Stegostoma tigrinum: one gene and its partners. The protein of the gene in region 1 interacts with the protein of each later gene in a pairwise test. Links are inferred from orthologs where the notes say so. Each region holds a gene or a part of one and is shown in the gene's direction. Other genes may lie near its edges.

Region 1 (7,286 bases):
AGAAGTAGTCATTTGGATACAGAACTGACGCAAAGGCTCTCGGCCAAGGATGGTGGTGAAGGGTTCCTTTTCAGACTGGAGGCCTGTGCCACAAAGTTTGGTGCTGGTCCACTGATTTTTGTCAATTATATAAATGATTCCGATGTGAACATAGAAGGGATGGTTAGTAAGTTTGCAGATGCCACCAAAATTGGTGGTGTAGTGGATGGTGAAGACGGTTATCTCAGATGAGCTGAGGAGTGACAGATGGAGTTTAATTTAGATAAATTTGAGGTCCTGCATTTTGGAAAAACAAATCAGGGCAGAACTTATACACTTAATAGTAAGGCCCCAGGGAGTGTCACTGAACAAAGAGACCTTGGGATGCAGGTTCATAGTTCCTTGAAAGTGGAGTTGCAAGTAGACAGGATTGAGAAGAAGGTGTTTGATATACTTGCTTTTCTTGGTCAGTCCCATTGAGTATAGGAGTTGACAGGTCATGTTACAGCTGTACAGGACTTTGTCAGGCCACTTTTGGAATACTGCGTCTAATTCTAATCTACCTGCTATAGGATGTTGTGAAACTTAAAAGGGTTCAGAAAAGATTTACAGGGATATTGCCAGGGTTGGAGGGTTTCAGTTACAGGGAGAAACTGAATAGGCTAGGGCTGTTTTCCCTGGAGCATTGGCGGCTGAGGGGTGACCCTATAGAAGTTTATAAAATCATGAGGGGCATGAGGGCGAAGTCCAAAATTAGAAGGTGTAGGTTTAAGGTGTTTTGTCTGGTTCCTCTTTAAACAAGTTGCAGACAATTCCAACGAGAAGTTTATGAATGAATTTGCCCAGGTGTCCCACAATACCAAAGCAGTCAAATTAATATGAACACAAGCCAGTACCGGAGCAAAACATTCCTTCCTTCATTAATAATAAACATACTATCCCAATCCTTTTTGGTCGCTAACAGTTACAATACTTCCTCAGTATCTTATAAATTTACACAGTTGCTCTCCCTGCGGCTTGATCTCTAGAACTCAAGAAGGGTCTCGGCCTGAAATGTCATCTTTCCTGCTTCTCTGATGCTGCTTGGCCTGCTGTGTTCATCCAGCTTTACACCTTGTTATCTCTCTTCTTCCTCCCTCTGTCTGATCAGCTGATCTCTGCCTCCAGCCTTTCTGGTCTGCTTCGAAGGCCTCGGATGGTTCCGAGAGAGAAGTCTGCAGATGAACTCTGTTTTTATTCATTTTAGATGTTTTTCTGGAACTTTGAGTTCTGACCAATCAGGGAGATGCACTTAATAGTTCGAAACACAAGTCAGTCATTTAGAGATAGCAAGAACTGCAGATGCTCTTGTCAGAGACAACACAGTATGGAGCTGGAGGAACACAGCAGGCCAGACAGCATTGGAGGGGCAGGAAACTTGACATTTCGGGTCAGGACCCTTCAGAAAGGGGAGAGAGACGGGAGCTGAGAAATAAATAGAGAAAGGGATGAGGCTGGGGAAGGTAAGTGGGATGTTGATAGGTGAATACAGTTAGGGAGTGGTGGGGATTGGTCATTGAGGTGGAAAGGGTGGATAGGTGGCAGAGAAGATGGACAGGTTGTGTCAGGTCAAGGAGGCTGGGATGAGAGGGAAGGTTGGACATGGGATGAGGCCAGGGTTGGGAATATTTTAAAACTGGTGAAATCCATGTTTAGGCCATCGGTCTGCAGACTCCCGAGGCAGAATGATGCATCTGCTGTTCCCAATGTGGCCTCCTCTACAGCTGTGAGACGAAGCAGAGACTTGGAGATTGTTTTGTCGAGCATCTGCGCTCTGTGCATGACAAAGGACAACGATTTTACCTCCCCGTCCCATTCCCTGGGTGACATGTCCATCCTGGGCCTCCTCCAGTGTCACAGTGACACGACCCAGAAATTGAAAGAACAGCACCTCATATTCCACTTCTGGAGCCTACAGCTGAAAGCCTAAACATGGATTTTCACTACCTTTAAAATCTCCCCACCCCCGTTTTCATCCCACTGACCAATCCCCACCACCCCTACCTACACTCACCTATCACCATCTCACCTACCTTCCCCAGACCCACCCCTCCTCTCTCTGTTTACTTCTGAGCTCCCTTTCCCCTCCCCAGTTCTAAAAAAGGCTGCTGAACTGAAATGTCAACTTTTCTGCTCCTCAGATGTTGTCTGGCCTGCTGTGTTCCTCCAGCTCCACTCAGTCAATCATTTAGATGGCCTGCGACTGTCAAGTTACTTTGTGTAGCAGGACTCAGTGTCTTTCTGTCTGGGCTGCCCTTTATTTGGCTAAATTGTTGGGGTGTCTGTGCAGACTGTTGGCTTTTACATTATGCTAATATCATTAGCATCTGGATGCTGTGTTTGTACTGTGTGAGGTATATGGGTTTTGTGATTTCACAGTTTCATTTGACCAGTGTCCTCCATATCCCTGCTAACAAAGTTTGGAGCTGGATGAACACAGCAGGCCAAGCAGCATCTCAGGAGCACAAAAGCTGACGTTTCGGGCCTAGACCCTTCATCAGAGATCAGAGACCCTTCATCTCTGGGTCTAGGCCCGAAACGTCAGCTTTTGTGCTCCTGAGATGCTGCTTGGCCTGTTGTGTTCATCCAGCTCCACACTTTGTTATCAGGGATTCTCCAGCATCTGCAGTTCCCATTATCACTCCTCCATACTCCTTGCTGTTTGGCCAAGTTGGCAATCTGTGTTTTAGCAGCCAGGAGGCTGCTATATGTGAGGGGAAAATACTTAAAAGAGACTTAAGGGGCAACGTTTTCACACAGAGGGTGGTGTGTATATGGAATGAGCTGCCAGAGAAAGTAGTGGAGGCTGGTAAAACCACAACCTTTAAAAGGCATCTCTCTGGATGCGTATATGAATAGGAAGGGTTTAGAGGGATAGGCGTCAAATGCTGGAAAATAGGACTAGATTAATTTAGGATATCTGGTCAGCATGGATGAGGTCTGTTTCCATGTTGTACAGCTCTATGACTCTATAGTGGAACATTGTGAATCAACTCAAAACACCTTTACCACATTATTTTGACTAACAGCATATAAACTTGCAACTAAATCAAATGATTGATGAACACATCCAAAGTACATGATATTTTGGAATTGATACTGAATCAGAAGTTAGCTAAACAGTTAGAATGTAGTTAGTTTTTGACCCACTCTCAATCCTAAATACAATGCAATTCGGATATGCATGTGCTCAAAGAAACTTTGGAATCACTGTGAGGAAAGGAAACAATATTCACAAAGAGCTCCAGCAAGCCAGAATGCGATGCCTTGTATGATAAGCATAACCAATGACAATGCTCACACATTTTTAAAAATCAGCAAATTCAGGAGCACTTTGACTTAATCTGTTAAAGGAAAGAATGCTGTTGATAATTGGAAGAAGAAGGATTGTGGGATTTTTGTGTGCACATTCATGTATGCATGGCTATATCTGAAATAAATGCAGGTTTGTATTTTATTATTGACGTGAAGTAGGTACTGCCATGCATGCTTTTAAAGTGAACGTATATTCTTATATGTGAAAGTTCACGCTTGAAAATGAATTCTGTGTGTCTGGAAATGGCATCTATAAGAATACCTCCTTTATCAATAGTACAATAAGTGTAAATATACATATGCTTTTCTAGGGAAAAATGATAGGGACACTATTACCCTTAGACGACAGCAGAGCTATTTGACGGAAAAGTATATCGGATTGAGTGATAGAATTAGCGGCGGTGAATTGTAAAAATAAAAGTCATTCGTTTAAAAAAAACACGTTTCGACCCTTGAACATTTATTCCTCACTTTGTCTCGAATCCATTTTTTGTTTTGCTTGGTTAATCCTCTGGGAGGCTGTTTAAGGCGTTTCCCTAAAACAAATGGACTATATAAACGTAGTTGCTCTTCGCCTATTTTAATAACGGCGTCAAAGACGCAGCTTAGAGCAGTACATCCCGTCCCGCATGAACCTGAACACACAAGTGCTAATTGATCAACCTGGCTACCCAATCAATGCGGCAGCAATCTGGGCACGTGGGATCTTCTCTGCCTTGCGGTGAGTTTGCGGAGTGTTTGCGCAATGCTCCTTGGGAAATGAAGTACTGTTGTATCAGGTGCGGAGGAAGGTGGCAGTTGGGAAATTACATTGCGTTGAACGGTGGTGGTGGGACTGAGGACTACATTACCCAGAATGCTCGACGGCAGAGAAGACAACGACATCATCCAGTCTGCTGGTTGGCAAAATGCGTATGCGCTTCTGTGTAGTGCCGCCAGCTAGGTTAAAACACTGATTTTCAAATGGTCCCTAGGGCCAGTTAACAAGTGCAAGTCCTTTATTTGTTTATGTCCTTCCCCTTATTGTCAAAAACGAAAAGATAATTCTGGTTGTAGGGGTACAGTTGCTGATTTATTTATTTTAGTCGTTCCTTTGGAAACGGCGCCTGAGCAACCACCCTTGATGCCGCTAGGACCCCTTGGATCTGTCAGCGCAGGCCCTGAGGTGTCTGCGAGAAATTCAAAGCAGAAGAGCAAGTCAGTGTGTGTAGCCACTCACCACCTCTCCGAGCAATCGCCATTGTTATCGTCCACGTTGTGATTCATTCAGGGCGGACGATGCAGCGCTCCCAGTTAATTTAAAGAGAGCTGGCCAAGGAGGGAAAGGGCGCACAAAGAAGGAGGTCTGCTTAGGCTATCATTCTGAGGTGGAGGGAAGCGAAAACTGGTACAGGGTCATCCTGACTGTCATCAACCCCTCCCCTTTTCCCCCCAACCCCCCCCTTCCACCTCCATCACGATAGGGCTGCTGGTAAACTGAAAGGGAAAAGCAACAATAGGCTGTAATATTCTTCCCTCCCAGCACTAAAAATGGATCGCGAAAGAGGAGAGAGCGAAGATAATTTAGATTACTCAGTAGCAAACGTCGAAAAGGTAAGACTATATATCAGTTTCGTTTATTTGTAACACGTTACCTTTCATCATCCTAATTGTGTTCTGTGAACTCGTAGCTTGTAGGTACTTCAAAATCATTACCAGGCATGTGTATACCTAGTTCCATTAATACTGAGCCGTAAATGTAACAATATTAGAAAATTGTCTTTTTGTCTAGTTAGTAATAAAGAAAGTGTACCCGTTGTAGCCAGATTGTAAATTTTTTTAAAAAATTATTAAATGGCACCATCAACTACAGTTACCTTTGACACAATTATTGGAGCTAAACTTCTGATGTATGAATGGGGTTAACATGTTAACTTTGAATCGCTTGTTATATTTTGTTTCACAAATCTGTTTGTTTGTAAATATCTAAGGCTGATATTGTTTGATTTCAGAATGGAGCAAGAAACACTTAGCTTGCTTTATTTAGCCTGAGGGGGAATGCATTTTTTTAAGTGACATCATACATGAAGTCTGCATGGATGTTTAATGTTTTGAACATAGAGCTACTTGTTGACATATCAAGGTCCTTTTATGAAAGTGATCTTTTATAATGCATGCCTATGTTATTTTATTGTATGGGATTATTTATGACTTCAGTAACAAGTGCTATGTAAATCAATCCTTTTCAACTATTTTGTATTATGCTCATGAGTTATTGAGTTGAAGCTGACTTGTCAATAACAGTGCTTGGGAAACAGAATCTTGGCTGTGGGAGGTTTAACCAATGTGAGAATGAGGTCAGGGCAGTCTGATTTAGAACAGGCAAAGTGTAATTAGGTCAGAACAGAGTTTTTGGTCTCTTCTTTGCACTTAAATTCCATTCTTAAAATGTATAGACCTCCTGAAAGATGATCTTCCCTTAGCATGATTCTTCTTCACCTTCTTTGAACTTCTTCTCTGATCCATAAGCTCAGCTCAGAACTGTGTTTGACCTATGAACCGAGTTTAAGTGATGACCAAAAGAACTGCAGATGCTGTGAATCAGGAACAAAAACAAAGTTGCTGGAAAAGCTCTGCAGGTCTGGCAGCATCTGTGAAGGAACAATCAGAGTTAATGTTTCAGGTCCAGTTCTGAGAAAGGGTCACTGGACCTGAAATGTTAACTCTGTTTTTTCCTTTACAGATGCTGCCAGACCTGCAGAGCTTTTCCGGCAGCTTTGCTTTTGTTGTTTGTAGTTTTAAGTCACCTTTGCTTTCTCCCTGAGCCAATAAAGTTTTACTAGAAGGAATATCCGGAAGCTGCATTGCTGAAATTGTTTTTAGAAATCCAAGTTTTTTTTAAAATAGTAATCCCTTCAAAGTTACCTCTTTTGAAATACATCTGCAGCTTTTCATGTCTGTTTAACTAGACAATTTAGAAAAAAATACACATTGTATTTATGACTTTACAGAAATTATTCCTATGCTATTGGAGTAACAGAAAACTATGGTAAGTCAGTGGTTGGTGAGTTAAATTTTTCGGACGTTGATTTTTAAGACATTTTTCCAGAAGATGAGAGAAGCAGTGAGGTGAACCTGATGATCTGGGTGCTGAAGGCATGCAGGAGTTGATGCTATACCTGAAGCCAATGTCATAGCAGCAACAAGTTTTGGTGCGTAGGTCTGCCGGTCACTGAGGGAATACAAAAATATCTAATTTTAGATGAGTTAAAATTTCCTCTGGTTTGACATTAGGAAGTCTGAAGCTTTATCTTTATCATGCTAGAAGTGCCACACTCTTGGCATGTATTCTGTTGCTTCCCCATCAACTGTCTCGGGCTGAATTCCACTATTTGCAATTGCCTTATCATTCAACCTCAAACCAATCAGCTTCCCTTGCTGGTATAATGCAAAGAGACACTATACATGCTTCCCTCTTTTTAAAATGTTTATCATCTGCTCGGTCCTTAAAAGGCCACTTCACCCTGTCCCTCCACCCTCACCATCGTACCCCCATCTATGCCTCCTTTTCCAAATCATTTACCTGCAGTCTTCCTCTGAGGTCCTAGATCATGCTGTTTCCCAAATCTCTGTTCTTCTTTCTTGCAGTACATGCTTGAATCTGTATTCTGTCTTTACTGCAGCACTGGGACAGCTTTTTACAAATTAGCTAATTACATCCACAAACTGTGATGCATTTTCCTTCCTTGACCTCTGTATAATTGTTGAAATGACCATCCACACCTTTGTCCTTCAATGCCTTTTCTCTGGTGTGCACGTTGGTGGGTTTACACTGGGTTAATTCCAGTCTTGGCTGTCTTGATCGTAGGAGAACAGCTCGGTGATCTCTTTCTCCAGTCCCTGTTCTCTTGCATTTAGTCCCCTTTGACTCATCATCCTCACATGCTGCCCCTTGGTGACACTCTAGCACTAAA
Region 2 (8,060 bases), on another chromosome or scaffold:
TCCATTGATTTGTTATTCCTGTTTATGTACTTTTCTCTGCCCCTGCAGCCCTCTGCTATCCTCCAATTCTGCTGTCATATACATCCCTGATTTGAATTGCTCTGTCTTTCCAAATGTACCTTCAGCCTCATAAACCCTCCAAACTGCCTTCCTAATCCATTCCCCTTTTAAGGTGCTCATTTAATTAAATGTCAAATTTGAGTAAGTTTTCTTGTAAACCTGTCCTGATGTTTAACAATATAGTCATTGATTTGATTTTGGGAAATGTAGGCAGCCAATTTCCATTATAATTTCAAGCAACCTGCATGAGAAGAAAAGTTTCTTGGATGGGTGATGTGAGATAACAAGGTGTAGAGCTGGATGAACACAGCAGGCCAAGCAGCATCAGAGGAGCAGAAGGCTGACGTTTCAGGTGTAGACCCTTCTTCAGAAATGGAGGAGGGTAAGGGGGTTCTGAAATAAAAAGGAAGAGAGGGTGAGGCAGATAGGAGATGGATAGAGGAGTAGATATATGGAGAGGAGACAGACCGGTCAAAGAGGCGGGTGTGGAGCCAGTAAAGGTGAGTGTAGGTGGAGAGTTAGGGAGGAAATAGGTCAGTCTAAGGAGGACGGACAGGTCAAGGGGGCGGGAAGAGGTTAGTAGGTAGAAGATCGGGTTGGGGCTTGAGGTGGGAGGAGACAATAGGTGGGAGGAAGGACAGGTTAGGGAGGCTGGGACAAGCTGGGCTGGTTTTTGGGATGTGGCATGGGGAGGGGAGATTTTGAAGCTTGTGAAGCCCACATTGATACCATTGGGCTCCAGGGTTCCCAAGTAGAATATGAGGTGCTGTTCCTGCAACCTTCGGGTGGCATTGTTGTGGCACTGCAGGAGGCCTAGGATGGACATGTCATCTGAGGAATGGGAGGAGGCATTGAAATGGTTCATGACTGGGAGGTGCAGTTGTTTAGTGCGAACCGAGCAAATGTATTCTGCAAAGTAGTCCCCAAGCCTCCGCTTGGTTTCCCCGATGTAGAGGAGGCCACAATGGGAATAGCAGACGCAGTGTATCACAGTAACAGATGTGCAGGTGAACATCTGCTTGATGTGGAAAGTCTTCTTGGGGCCTAGGATGGGGGTGAGGGAAGAGGTGTAGGGGCAGGCATAGCACTTCCTGCAGTTGCAGGGGAAAGTATCGGGTGTGGTGGAGGGGAGTGTGGAGCAAACAAGGGAGTCACGGAGGGAGTGGTCCCTCCAGAAAGCAGATAAGGGTAGGGAGGGGAAAATGTCTTTGGTGGTGGGGTCAGATTGCAGATGGCGGAAGTGTCAGAGGATGACTGGTGGGATCCGGAGGTTGGTGAGGTGGTACATGAGGATGAGGGGGATTCTGTTTTAGTTGTTCTTGTCAGGAGGGGGCGTGAGGGATGAGTTGTGAGAAATGTGGGAGACACGGTCTAGAGCATTGTCGACCACTAAGGTGGGAGAGTTGTAGTCCTTGAAAAATGAGGACATCTGAAATGTACGGGAGTGGAATGCCTCATCCTGGGAGCAGATGTGGCCGAAATGAAGGAATTAGGAATAGGGGATGGCATTTTTGCAGGAAGGTGGGCGGGAGGAGGTGTATTCTAGGTAGCTATGGGAGTCAGTAGGCTTGAAATGGATATCAATTTCCAGGTGGCTGCCAGAGATGGAGACAGAGGGGTCCAGGAAGGAGAGGGAGGTATCAGAGAAGGTCCAGGTGAACTTAAGATTGGGATGGAAGGTGTTGGTGAAGTGGGTGAACTGTTTGAGCTCCTCATGGTAACATGAGGCCGCACCAATACAGTCATCAATGTAACTGAGGAAGAGGTGGGGTGTAGGGCCAGTGTAGGTACGGAAGAGGGATAGTTCCACATAACCTACAAAGAGGCAGGCATAGCTTGGGCCCATGTGGGCACCCATGGCAACCCCCTTTGTCTGTAGGAAGTGGGAGGAATTGAAAGAGAAGTTGTTGAGGGTGAGGACAAGTTCAGTTAAACAGATGATTGTGTCAGTGGAAGGGGACTGGTTGGGTCTGTGGGACAGGAAGAAGCAGAAGGTCTTTAGGCCATCTATATGGGGAATTCAGGTGTATAGGGACTGGGTGTCCATGGTAAAGATGAGGTGTTGGGGACCAGGGAAGTGGATGTTTTGGAGGAGGTAGAGGGCATGGGTGGTGTCACGGACATTGGTAGGAAGTTCCTGGACTGAGCGGGAGAAAATGGAGTCAAAATAGTTGGAGATAAGTTTGGTGGGGCAGGAGCAGGTGGAAACAATGGGTCGACCAGGGCAGCCAGGTTTGTGGATTTTGGGAAAGAGATAGTGGGGTTGGGGAACCACGAGGTTGGAGGCTGTGGATGGGAGGTCACCTGAGGTGATGAGGCTGTGGATGGTTTGGGAGATGATGATTTGGTGGTTGGGGTAGGGTCATGATCAAGGAGGCGGGAGCAAGAGGTGTCAGAGAGCTGGCGCCTGGCCTCTTGAAGTGGTGATGTTGGTTCACAATTACAGGTAGTTCTGCTATAACGCATGTTTTGTTAATGCGAATTGGCTGTAACACGATTGATGAACTGTGGACGCTGTTTCCATAATGAGAACTTTCTGCAGTACAGTACAGTAATTCCCCAATAACGCGATTTTCTATGGCGATTTTCTTTAGCGTGAGGTCACACAAGAATCCAAGTATGGTGTTCTTGGAGAACTATCGCGTACATGTTCTTCAGGTCTGCAAGCGTTGTCCCCTAGCACACAAAAACGGCAACTGCTGGAGAAACGCAACAGGTCTGACAGCGTCTGTGGAGAGAAGGCAAAGTATTGGGTCACTGGACTCGAAGTGCAGCTTTGTTTTTCCTCCACGGATGCTGGCCGACCTAGTACATTCCTCCAGCATCTTCTGTTTTTGTGTGTTCCAGATCTCCAGCATCCGCGTTCTTTGTTTTATTTTACAGTCGGCCTCCATTCTATTTTGAAAAATAGCATAGTCGAGACCTCAGCTTCAACATCTCATTTGAAACATTGCACCTCTGCCAATGTAGCACTCCCTGAACCCTCCACTGAAAGCATCAACTTGGATAAAGTATGTTCCAATCTTTGGAAGGAACTGATGACATGCTGACTAAGACACAAAAGCACAATCAGTGAGCCAGGGTAACACCTAATTTGTGTTTCTCCATCACACAAAGTATTTACACATACATTTTGATAATTGCATTTCTACTCAAAACAACAGAGTGCTATAATTGATTTTAATGTTTATATACCACACAGACTATGGTTATACTGTAACTAAGAAATCTGCTTAGTAGGAAGATCAGCCAACAATGTAACGTGTGCAAACAAACTGAAAACTTGCATTCTGACTACTTAGGGAATGAAGCTGTGTATACTTGCACACGTGCGCAGAACTCCATTCTCTCTGCCAGTACATTTTTTAACAAACTCAAACAGAAGTATTCACTTCATAAAAACGAGTGTAGAAAATGTACTGGCGACGCAATGGAATACTTGGAGCATTTTTAAAACCTACTTACATGCCTTTGGGATTACATTTCGCTCTGTGTCCAATCCAAAACTTGCGGCTGAATGTCTCACAGCACCGGTTTGCACATTTTCTGCAGACAAATTGGGATTTGACTACAAGTGCTGTCTGCCAGTTGGATGACAGCGACACGCTAAACTTGCTTAATGGGTTGAAGACACGTAATGGTTTCAGCGTTAAAATTAAATTCACTAATTTATTGTAGAGCTGTGTAAAACAATAAAATTGTTCCAGTTGGGTGTTTATAAATAACGAAATGTTTACTGTTTTTCATGATGTAACAGTGTACCTCACAAAGGCCCACGGCACAATCACATAAACACTGGACCCCCACTAAACAATGTGAGAGCGTTTGGGGTGAATTTTACACCCAGGTGTGGCTGGTTTGTTGAGTTCCTTATTCCCATCCGATTAGTGCCTCCGTTCCAAGAAAGGCCCGCTCGCTACGTTGTACGTCCGGACAGTCAGTTCCCCTCCGCAATAGTAAACTCAGAGCGAACGGCCCTGTTTTATCACAGGGGATATGTGACGCGGTGAAATGCTTAGTGAAGGGCTGAAGGGTGAAATATGTATGTGATGCGCTTCTCTCTCTTGGAAATTGTGAAATGAATTAATTAATAATAAACAATTCGCCAGCTGTCACGACTGAATTTGCACCGAAGTGCGTCCTCTGGGCAATTAAATACCAAATAAAAACCGATGTCCTCTTTCTAGGAAAGTTAATGTACCTAATCCGCTTGTTTACAATGTAATCTCTTCTAAAAGATTATGAAAGCAACACTTTAGTTTATATTCCAACATAAACAGATGAAAGGTGCTCATAATTTGCCGAGGATCAAAGGGGCTTAGGACATGACTGTAGTAATTCTTATTGTGAGGGAGGGTCTTGTGCCAATGCCCCAATGGAAGCCAACGAGAGAGGGTGGTCGACCTTAAAGAAGCAGCTTCCTCTGCCTTTACCAACCGTTAGAATTGCACCCATTCTCTCCCAGTTATAACCACTGCCGAGCACAGAGCGCCGACTCATTCATTTGCCCTGAACGAAACAAACATGACATCCAGCTTCTTACATAACCTGTGCTGTGCTTGAGCGCACACACACAGCCCTGGCCCGAGGGTGGGAGGCCTGACGTCACCTGTCAGCCAGGGAGACAGCTGCCGAGGTTCAGGAACGGAACCAAACTCCGGATCGAGTGCAAAGCCAGCCGGCCTCCTGCACTGCGCTGGAACTATGCTTTCAATTCATGCGGAAACAGCATGTACCGAAGACAGCGAAAGCTGCAAGTCATGCACATAAATGGTGAGTCCCCTCGCTCCTAGCTCGCCCGCGTGAAGAATAGAATGGGGGAAATGAAAACACGTGCTTTTGTAAAAACGTTGCAATGTCGATAAATTCAGCTGCTCACCAGCATTTCAAACAGGATTCTCACAAAGACGAGCAGACCAAGGCAATATGATTAAAGGTCAGGTAAAAGCAGCCAGTCAGGCGTATTTATTCTTTACTGTTTGGTTTTCATTCTCTCCCGCCCGCTATGTTATTTCGAACCTTGCGCTTTCCCAGGGCATTTTGTTCGCTGACTGTGGGAATAGAGATTTTGAGGGGGCTTTTTTTTTCACTTAGAACTCTGACGTTGCGGCGGGGTTTGGGGTATTTTCTGTTATTTCACACCGCATAGAAGCCGTGTGAGGGAACCCGACAGTTCCTCTCGAATGCAGCACACCAAAAAGTTTGAAAATGTCATTTCAGCGCGGAAACCAGAAAAAAACTGCAGATGAGTTCCGAGGAAGTTAACTCGAATTTCTCTGCACAAGCGCTGCCAGACCTACTGAGCTTTCCCAGCAATTTCTGTTTTTGTTTCATTTCAGCACGATGTTTGTACATGATGGAGTGAAACCGAGTCCTGGTAGACAAGCGAGGAGTATAAATTAGTCCTCGCCTTCTATCTATTTGAAAAACTTTATAATCGGCTTTTTCTTACTTTACGGTATTTGTTTCTGACCGAATATAACTTCTTGATTTGAGATTTTAAACAATCGAAGTTTTGCTGTCGGGTTATAGAGAGAGAAGGCCCTTTCCTCAGCAGCAGCATTACAGACGCTCTCAGAATGGATCTCGACCCAACCTGCAGAGCGGTTGTTAGCGTGGTTCAACATGTTACTGCAGCGATAAAGTATAGAAAGCGAGCAAAAATAAATAACACGCATAGTTTTTAAATGAAATATGTCGCTATTGGGTTCGGGTAGATTACAGGCAGTCATAGATTCGCACTTGGAAACAAAACAAACCATAAACGCACGATGATAATTATACCTGGGGACAGATCCAACTCGAGAAAACGTTAAGTGACTGGAATCGAAGGCAACCCGGTCCCTAGAAGCTACTGGTAGAGAGATTTGTGTTTCCATCAAAGAACAAGAGAGTGTTCACGCTGGTTCTTTAATGTAAACAAACACTTACTACGTGTTGAGGTAAATAAAACTGTATTTGGCTATAGATTTTAGCAATAATGTAGGCTGTAATGTAAATGCATACGTGTGCGGAACAGCTTTTGGGTGGATAGTTTGCGACCGATAACTTTGTTTACAAAATTTATTTACAAGATTTGCAAGATCAAAATTAGTGGTTTTTATAAATTGGAAACAGAAATTGCCGGAAAAGCTCAGCAGCTTTTCTGCAGCAACTATGGAGAGTAATCAGAGTTAATATTTCGGATCCACTGACCCTTCGCACCCGCATTTCTTTGCTTTTTTTGTGTGTTTTTTATCTTCGGCAACCGAATGCCCCGGACTGGAACGTGAACACGATTTTATTTTCAGTCAGTCTGTGATTTCCTGTTAAGCTAAAGAATTTAGTATGTATCAGCATAACGGCTGTGTCCTAACTCAGTGCCCCTGTGAATGCCAAATGAAATCGAAAGTCCAGTTAAAAAGATAAGTTGGTGACAGTGGAACAGTATTTTCTTTGACAAATGTGATCCTGTGAAAGACAGACCTAGTGAATAATCGTTTAGTTTGTTTAGAGGCCTTACCTGCTGGATTGGCTTTGATTGCAATTACTTGCCCCAGTAGTACCTTTCTACTTCTACAATATAATGATTTGTTAACTGCAATCATTCAGATTCAAACATTGCAGTTAAACTAGCAAAGGTCATTTTCGTCCAACACCTGACTCACTTCACATAGCGAAAAAGGTAAAATGTCCTTCAGATTTTTCAAGACATCCACTTATACAGATTTAGTTTTTTTTGTTACTGAGCCCCGTCCAAATGCTCTCCGTGAACGTAATCTACCAACACCTTACAAGAGACAACCTTGAAAACTGGCTTACCTTGAACTGTGTGGTGCAATAGTCGCCCGTAGGTATGATGTCGAACAACCTTTAAAAGTAGCAATGGGGAGCAATGCGATTTGATCTTTGTACAATGTTCCTGGGCCAGTTCCTAGACACCTGATCGCTGGCAGAGATGAAAATCTTACGAGAGAAGGCCGTACGGGTACGTGTTCGGAGGCGGCGGTATTTAAGAGTGCAGATTTGCACAGAGCAAACCTAAGATAATTTCCAATACGAAATGTTACTCTGTCCAAATCATTTATCATTGCCGAAACCTGATCAATAACAGTTATAGATTGAAATATTTGAGTGAAATTCTTCGGCGTGTTAACGTTGCTCATATAAAGAACTTCAGTATTCTTTGGAGGCTAATCATTACAAATTAATAGATGTCATCCCGAGACCTTTGCTATTTTCTACAGATCTGGCTACATCGTTTGTGTGATGTTGGTGAATTATTTCACGCAGTTTTTCTAATGGATGAAATGTGTATCCAGAATTGAAGTGTCGGGCACAAAGTGGGCACTATGAGCCCGGATGGAACCTCTTTATTTAAAAAAAAGTTTATACACTGTATTGTGAGAAGCAATCAAGTTTCTCCTTACATGGCCTCTGCCAGAGGATTGATTCTCCCTCTACCAACTCAGGACGGAAACGAATGGGAAGCGGGGTGGGGATATGTCAGGAAAATCCTGAAATCTGATCGCCGCCCTTTGCAGAGAGTTCTGCTGATCGTAGTATTTAAGACCATAATTGGAACGATTTGTATGTGGAGTCACAACACGGCCAATTTGAAAATTTTCTCCTTTGGGAATAGATAAATGTTTCAAATACGCTAGTGCTATCTTTTCGTCGGCAAAGGGGAAGCAAACTGTACTTGGGCGAACATGTGTATTCGTTAATATAATCAACAAGCAATGCTATCCGATGAAGAAAAAGGATTTGACAAGCAAATTGCTGACAGAATCAGTGTGTCCCTTGCGCCAAGATTCCGCATCTCGCTTGTCAATGGCAACTCAAACATATAAGGGTCAATGGCTTGACTACTGAACTGATTTGTTAATTAGCTACGAGCGTTAATTTTAGGGAATAAAGAATTTAGATTTTTTTCTGAAATTTGCATTACTCAGGGTGAGGCACAACTTTAAAACTATTGGGATAGAGTAAAATAGGAAAGCTGGGGAAAATGAATATAT
Region 3 (7,886 bases), on another chromosome or scaffold:
TTTTGTGAAATCACAAGCATATTACGCATATAAAACTATCTATTGTAGCCTAGTTGCCCGATTTCTGCTGATGCTCCAAAGGTTACCGCAAGAAACTGCTTTTTTTGGTAATTGAATATTTAAGGAGCAAAAGCTGTTTGTAAACGGCGGTTTTGAGTTTGAGTCGAGTTCGTCAGTGACAATAGGATTAACTTTGGAAGCTGATCGTCCTGTAAAACATCACCAATGTCGAAATTAACCTGATACCACAAATCGGACTGAGGGGAGACTTGGATCATTTCGGGATTGTTTCATTCGATTCTCCATATTTTGTTTTCGTTATTTTTTCCTGCTTGCAGTGAAGAAGAGGAACGACGCAGAGTTGTCCTGTTGCTTTTTACAGGTTCAATGTTGAAACCTTGCATTTCCCCCCACCTCCCCCTCTGTTTAAAATATCTACCATGGACTTCCTTTACCGACAGTGTAAAGAAAGCAGATGGACTCCCGAAACTTAGACAAACACTAATTGTTTGCATCTCGCTTTTTGATGAAGGTGCAGATCAAAATGAGTCAGACCTTTTTTTGAGATCGTTACATTTTCCGTTACCGTTTGGTGAAACGGACTCCTTCTGAATCCACCGAGTGATCGTAATCTGGTATACACTTATTACCGTTGTTCAGCATTTGCCTTCGAGTTGGATCACAGATGAAATACAGTGTGTGTCCGTGTCAGGAAGAATACGTTTCAATTACTGGAGGGGGTGTCAGGAAGACCCCAGTCAGTCGAGTCAAATTTAAGGATCAGGAAGCCATGTTGGGAATTGCGGGCTAAGGATAGGGAGGTGGGAGAGGACATACGGATTACTAGGTTGATAAGAGTTCATTGTTGTTTGCAGACTATAAAAGGCTTGTTTTATTTAGTTATGCATTTTGACGTTGCCTGCTGCAGTATGTAAAGGCGCAGTAGCACTCAATCTTAAAATGGATTTAGTCTATTTCGCTCACCTGTCGACCATTCGGGTCAAAATTTCGTTATTACCCAGGTAGCTTTGCAAACACCCTTGTAGCAAAATTCTACTTCACTTAGTCATTCCTGCCAAATTGAATAAAACAGTTCTTTTTTTTAAAAAAAGGAAACTTTCGGCCGTTGCGTCCAACCCACTCGCATTGTCCAGGCATTCAATTTCTCAAATAATTTTAGTACGCGCCAGCCAGGTTCATGTCATTATTTAAACTGCATGAATAGGCAGGTTAATTAATTAAATTTCTGACAGGAGTCTTGCACCTCATGTTAAGAATGCTATCATTAAAGAGACCGCAGCTCTCAGATTTGCGAGCCTACATGTGTAAACCGCGTGGATGGCCACACTCAGAAACGGAACTCTCATTTACTTGAAGTCACCTAACGAGTCAGCACATTAATGCATTTGCAGAGATGTTTTGCCATGCTCTTTGCTTTCAAAAGGAAGTGGAAGATTGGAACCTTTGAAGACATTTGGAAAAATGCGATTTCCTTCTATCAAATCCAACTGAAGGTGAAAGACGACTGAAAAATATACAAGCTTCCTTAAAATACACTTTAAAAGAGCAATGTCGAGGCACCATGCAAACTGCAAATCGAGCAAACAGCTGGTTTGCCTTTCAGTAAAGTGAGATCATACAAAGAAATTTAAAATACGTAAAATAACATCTTAAACCCGCAGTATTGAACATGTTCTGTCAGCCAAGGAGGTATCTTCACCTACTTCTGACTCTTCAAAAAATCCGCAGTGTATACACAACGAACATCTTTGAACAAATGATCTGAATGCTAATTTCCATAGAATAAATGACATTTAATTGTGTCCAAATACTCTACACTTGTAATACAGTCTTGATGCTGCCATGTAAATTTCTACCAACTGAAGGCAATCAATTTCCACCCGACATAACACACTGTTCATTGCACCCACAGGGACTGTGAAACGTACAAAGGGGTACTGATTTGACATCTTTCATTCACACCGTAAAGCGAAGGACAAGTATTGCATATTTTATGGGCAAAATGCACCGAAATATAATTGTCCGATTTAAAAGGTAGACAAAAGCTTATCTATGTGTTTTGTTTACTTTATAACTCGACGCACTGTAACAAGTTATTAAAACAATAATAACAATAATGCGACAAAATGTGAGTTTTCATTTTGATATGAATAACTTTAATATTTAAGTAACAACTGAATCGACATTGTAAAACAGTCACAATTTTACACCCATTTCACTTTGGATACAACTTGCAACAGCATCTTAGAACAGCCAGGCATTGGACAGACAGAACTGTGGTAAGTCAGTGATGTCACCAAAATAAAAATTGACCCGTGTTCTACCTATTGCTTTCTTTCCTACTGCAATCACAGTGCAGAACTTTTAACACCGAGAAAGGAATAGATGAAACAGCCCCAACACCACGTTAACAATCAGTTAACTTCCGCTCGCTCTGACACCTATCCACAATTAAAACACAAAATAAACTCATCAAATGCTCGTGATGGAGGCCATTTGAACAATCTTGCGCTCTGGCGACGGGTCTGGCGGCACAGATTGATTCACGGATGAGCTCCTTTTGGAGAGTTGTGCAGTTTGAAGAGAGCAAGGTAACACCTGGCTCTGTTTTAGCGGCGCTTGCCTTTGCCGAGAGACAGATAAGGGGCAGCGCGACCTTTCCAGCGCTTCCTTGGAGAACCCTGGTCGGTTGCACGGTTTCAGAGCTCCCATCCCCTAATAGCAACGGGTTGCATCATTAGCAAAGCACTTTTCCCTGATAGTTCTCCTTTTAAAAGAAATCTGTTGAAACAGTCACTTCCTGCCATACTTGCCAACATATTGTTCCACCAGATCCACGGTGGGAACAAACACTACTTGCTTCTGTTTCCTTTCAAACACACACATTTATTTTAAACGCCTTTTGCTTCATTTAGGCCGATTTAAAAACGTGATAGAGTATCCTACCTTTAATACAAACGAGGACAAGCCTGAGCAAGGACTTCTTAAAGGTGAATTTGGAGCAATGAACATTCTCTCCTCACTGTAGCAAAACAAGCATTGCAACTGGTTGCATAAATCTCCAATAAGAACTCTTTTTTAAAATCGGGAACGCAGTGTCTTTTCGCCGTAAGTTGCCCAAGTGGGTCAGATTTGTCCTTCAGTCCCTCAATGCAACTTTCATAGTGAAAGTCAGGCTCGTTCGGACCACACGTAGTTGCGGAACCAAGACAGTGCAACGCGCATGAAGATCATTTTGCTGGAATGGTTCATTAGAAACCGCAAACCGTTGCTGAGAATGGAGGGTGTGAGGGAAGTTCCTAATAAATTATTTACTCTACAAAATGTGTATAAATAATGGTCTTTGTGAAAACCAGCAAGTCTGCAGGAAGTACGAGAGCGTGGTAAATTAAATGCCCAAACAGGCTGATAAATATCGTGAAGACAAAGGTGCAAATGCACGCATTAAAGCTGATTAGAAATAACCAGCAAGAGATCAAAATACGTACATGAACATGTATATGCAGATACAATGAGGCCAATATATGCACGTGTCCTCTGAGTTTACATCTTTAAACCGAATAATCCCGGATGTTCCTTTAACGATGAATAAGATTCAAATGCATTAGTTAATTGTAATGAAGATATGCAAAGGTTTGCACAGCTCATTTTCCAATCTTCCTGTATTTTGAGATATTCTAAAGAATAAAGAGAAAAAATCATTTTATTACAGCGCATTACAGTAGACGGGAAATGTAAACCTTGATTTTATTCCTCTTGACAAGTATTTAAGGCATTTTCATAGACGGTGTGTGCAATGGGTGTACGTTTGAAAGATAAAGGGTCAGGTAATACGGTTGGAGGGGTTGCACTTTCGATCTGTTTTCGCTGCGCTAAGGCTAGTTACCGTTTTAATGAAGGTATCCAGCCAGAAGCAGAAAGTTGATTTTTCTACCTGACTGAACCCATTCAACAAACAGAACGGAGAACCAATGGATCAATGTTTACTTTATTGGTGACTTCGGACTAAATCACGGAGACACGGCCGTAGACCTGAAGTGAATGATAAATTATATCAAGCAATTATTAGTTCTGGTGAATGTTTTCCCACTTAATGTCAGACTGTGGGACTTAATTGTGTGAATAATTGTTATATGAGGTCTGGTGTCTAATACTTCACACCAGATAAACATCACTTTCTTTACCCTGAAATACATGTGTACCACAAAGCACCCTTAGAAATATCAAAATAGGAAACACGCTGAGCAAAAATAATTCACTGACAGCGAGTTCCAGTGCTTGTTTAAAATGTACTATTCTTACAGTATACATGCAGCTTTGGAGTACACATAGAATCTGTCATTAAAATATCGCCACAGTGCGAGTTTGCAGAATTCGCTGCTCCCATTCATATGATATATAAGATATAGACTTTGAGACATATTTGCATATTCATATATTTATATAATGATGACTGAATCCATTATGCTGCCATCAACACTAATCTGAGTCAGAACTATGAAAACTTTATGGACTCATTACTTGCAATGTTGCTTTAGGATAAATGGCCTTATAAGGGAAATAACGCGAGGCCACTCTTTTCTTAAAGGGGCATTGTAACATTGGCAAAAGAAAATAATTTTTCAGCATTCACTGAGTGCTTCCGCACTTTCTGTATGTCACAACACGGCGTTTCTTTAACAGGAGGAGATTGGGTTGGTGGGGATAGGGTGGGGTTGGAGGTGGCGGTCATATCTAACCAGAAGGAAATCTCCACTTGAAGCGAGAACGGCGCTAGGCCTGGCGTGAAGTGCAGCCCTTGTGTTTGCACAGGGTGTCATTGCGTCACGCAGGCGCCTGGTCCAATCAGCGTTGGCCTGACACTGATATTAAGGGGGAAAGTTTGTGTTTGAACGAAAAGCCGTCCCATAGTCCCGGTGACATTTAAACTCTGAGCGAGAGCCCAATGTGAAAAAAAGAGACCAAAACCTCCCACCGTTCTTATACACTGACCGGACCCGGGAAACCAAAGTGAAAGTGTTGAATCGCCGATGTACGACTTGATTCAGGTACGAGAGTTCCAGCTTCGTCCTCACCTTACAGCTGCAGTCTGCTTCTGGCTTCTTCTAATAACCTTCTCTCCCTCCTTTCCTTTATTTATTTTGAGTGTGCAGAATATCTGTTTCGATCGCCTATTTCTGTGTTATCCTTTCCACCTCTGTAACATGCTCGTTGTACACTTCGGTGTTTTGTTTTCTGTACGCCTGATATAAGCTCCGTTTACATGAAATATTTAGAGATCGTCTTTCGGAATTGTTCTAGCAATCACACTTACTGCTGGTGTTGCGACGGACAGAGTGCAAATATTAATTACATCAGGCGAATATCATTCTAAAATTTGCGGCTGCACCAAGCTGCAAGTGCTGGGGCGCGGGAGAAGGGGAGTTAATTTGCTAGGATATAGGAAACACGGTCTGCGAGGTTCCAGCAAAGTTGATCTCAACATCTGGTAACAGGTGGTACGGGAACAGACCAAACCTTTTTGTTGTTGTAGTTGACAACTGCCTCTCTGAAGCGGGGGTGGCGAGGAGTGGGTTGGGGGACGGCATTAAAAGACGATTTTTCAATCACCTCCAGCCACATCACACTCCTATCTGCGAGGGAGATTTGGGTGGCTTCGCTTTTCGAAGTTGCTTTCATTTTCCCCATTTAAAAAAGTGTCGAGTCTTAGGAAAGAGCTGCACGCAGGTTGGCAGCACTTTGAAATCCCAAGAACTCGTTTGATTTCTGCGGCCTTTTGGCGTCTAAGCAACAATCAAGGTAAAAAAAAATACAAGCAGCGGCTTCATGTTACATAAGCCCCTGTCACTTCCCTGTGCGTGTCAGGGGTTTGAATATGTCGGAGCGATTTTAGGGTTTTAGATACTTAACAGTTCACTGGTGAATTTCAAGCGCGGTCGTGTCGTATTAAGAATGCAATAACAACAAAAAAGGACATTTAAAGGAAACTTCTTCGAAGCGAAAGAATCTGCAGCTATGTTGAAGAAGAATTGTTCTCTTTTCACTAGCCAGGATAATTGCGCCGTAGACATCAACCTAGGACTACCTGTTTGGCAATCAAGGTTCAGACTTCACAACCTGAATTTGAAGAATCCTGTTCAACTTATGCTTTAGTTTGTTATTGGTCATTTATATAAAAGCATAACCCAACTCACCTTACGAGGTTTCACTTTGTTTGTTGTGTGTATTCCAGTTTCTCCTCCTCGTCGGAGGACCACAAATCATATTCCGGGCTAGCTATTGTGGCTATGTTAGGAGCTGGGGTCAGGTGAAGGTTCTACTGTACATGGGGCACACCGGTAGTGGACCATACCTTTGTAATAAATCAAGCGCCTTGTAACGCGGACCCTCCTCCCTCATTAGAGAGGTTTATCAGAGATACTGTTTATCCAGCTGTCATGTCGAGATAGGTCTGTAACATAATTGGCCTGACTAGAAGCCCTTTGCCCAACTAACCCCCACCCCTTCCAATGCAGACCAATGTGCATTTAAAGCCCATTGCATTTCGCCAGGAAGGTGTTTTTAAACTGAATCTCCCATTGACCTTTCGGGACATCTGATTGAGCAACATTTTCCGGCTATCAGTACAATTCACATGTGCAGAGATTTTAAAAATTGCTTAAACGGGGAGAGGGCAGGCTTCCGCATAGAGACGTGTTATCTAGTTTCTGTTCTTAATTTTGTTTTTGTCATAGAGCATGAGTGACTCTAGAAAACTAACAGGCGGGCACACCCAGCAAAGATTCTCTCTGAGTGTAGTCGAAAAATAATGGGGTATTATCTCAGTTCGTGTCGATATGATAGCTCAAAATATATTTTGTGTTCAGTACACAGATAGGCATAAAGTATCCGCCAGGCACAGACGCTGGGATAAGTTGTCAGAAATCGTGCATCTCTACATTCTACCGACTGGATTAGACAAGACGACTTTAAGTATTCTGTGGATTGTGAAAGGTACTTGGTAGCTTGGTTTGCTAATACAAGGAGACGAGGTCTGTTTCTGCGCTAGTGCGATTAATGAGTCAGACTTCTCAAGATGAGGAAGATTGTGCTTGTCTGTTGGGAGGGGTTGAAATTAAAACGTTAATTTTACAATTTATTAGCTCTTCTGAAACCGACAATATTCGCTGCTGCCTTCGGACAGGAAGTCCGCTAAAGCACGTCCCCTTGCAATAATACAGAATGCGAAAGGAACGTAAAGTGTGATTGTACTAAGACCAGTTCAAACGAATTGCACAGATGGTTTAATAAACTTTTTGACATTTTCGTTGTTCAGGGTTTCCTATAGCCTCTATGATCTGACACAACCTCTCTGTTACGTCTGTGCAAGTAAAGGAAGCGTGTTTTTGTAGGAATTGTTTAATCTGGGAGATTATTGCACGCTATTTTCTAGGCAGCAAGTGTTTTAATAGCACTATACTGCACCAACCTGTGCTAACGGTAACGATTAATATCATCAACTCACAGGCAAGAGATTCCTGGGGTGGAGCCATTGGTTCCTGCCATCCAATTCCTTATTGATTTTAAAAGCCAAAAACTAATCTCAGTTAGTAATGCTAAACAAAGTTGATTGGCTAACCTTAAAGCGAGAACAGCAGCCAGTGGTTTTAAATAGTTTTGATATCATGTTATGCTCCGTGAGGACATTGTAAAAGTGAACTTGTTTGCATCGAATTTGGCCTTTATTCGCCGGTTAGGGAAGAACGGAATATTTGATCTGCTAATTTTTTCAGTCCTGTTAGAGGAAGAAGAAACGTTTTATTTCGTCCGAGAGAGAAGAATAGAAAAAGTTCCCGAACATATTATGACCACGCAAAAAGGTCAAC

What was found.
Region 2: the proteins of ipo13b (region 1) and pitx1 interact in binary tests that used the Homo sapiens proteins (3 or more experiments, as listed by UniProt). The link is inferred for Stegostoma tigrinum from reciprocal best matches to the Homo sapiens genes IPO13 and PITX1.
Region 3: the proteins of ipo13b (region 1) and paired box protein Pax-6 interact in a two-hybrid assay, tested with the Homo sapiens proteins (2 studies listed by BioGRID and IntAct). The link is inferred for Stegostoma tigrinum from reciprocal best matches to the Homo sapiens genes IPO13 and PAX6.

Annotation. Positions count from the first base shown.
Region 1 is NC_081361.1:64,764,425-64,771,710, forward strand, and holds the start of ipo13b (importin-13), read left to right. Parts: upstream 1-4,203; 5' UTR 4,204-4,863; coding exon 4,864-4,926; intron 4,927-7,286. UniProt on the Homo sapiens protein: Functions in nuclear protein import as nuclear transport receptor. Serves as receptor for nuclear localization signals (NLS) in cargo substrates.
Region 2 is NC_081366.1:31,311,117-31,319,176, reverse strand, and holds the start of pitx1 (pituitary homeobox 1), read left to right. Parts: upstream 1-4,971; 5' UTR 4,972-4,986; coding exon 4,987-5,001; intron 5,002-8,060. UniProt on the Homo sapiens protein: Sequence-specific transcription factor that binds gene promoters and activates their transcription. May play a role in the development of anterior structures, and in particular, the brain and facies and in specifying the identity or structure of hindlimb.
Region 3 is NC_081370.1:42,718,422-42,726,307, reverse strand, and holds the start of paired box protein Pax-6, read left to right. Parts: upstream 1-4,801; 5' UTR 4,802-5,051; coding exon 5,052-5,069; intron 5,070-6,887; coding exon 6,888-7,014; intron 7,015-7,886. UniProt on the Homo sapiens protein: Transcription factor with important functions in the development of the eye, nose, central nervous system and pancreas. Required for the differentiation of pancreatic islet alpha cells.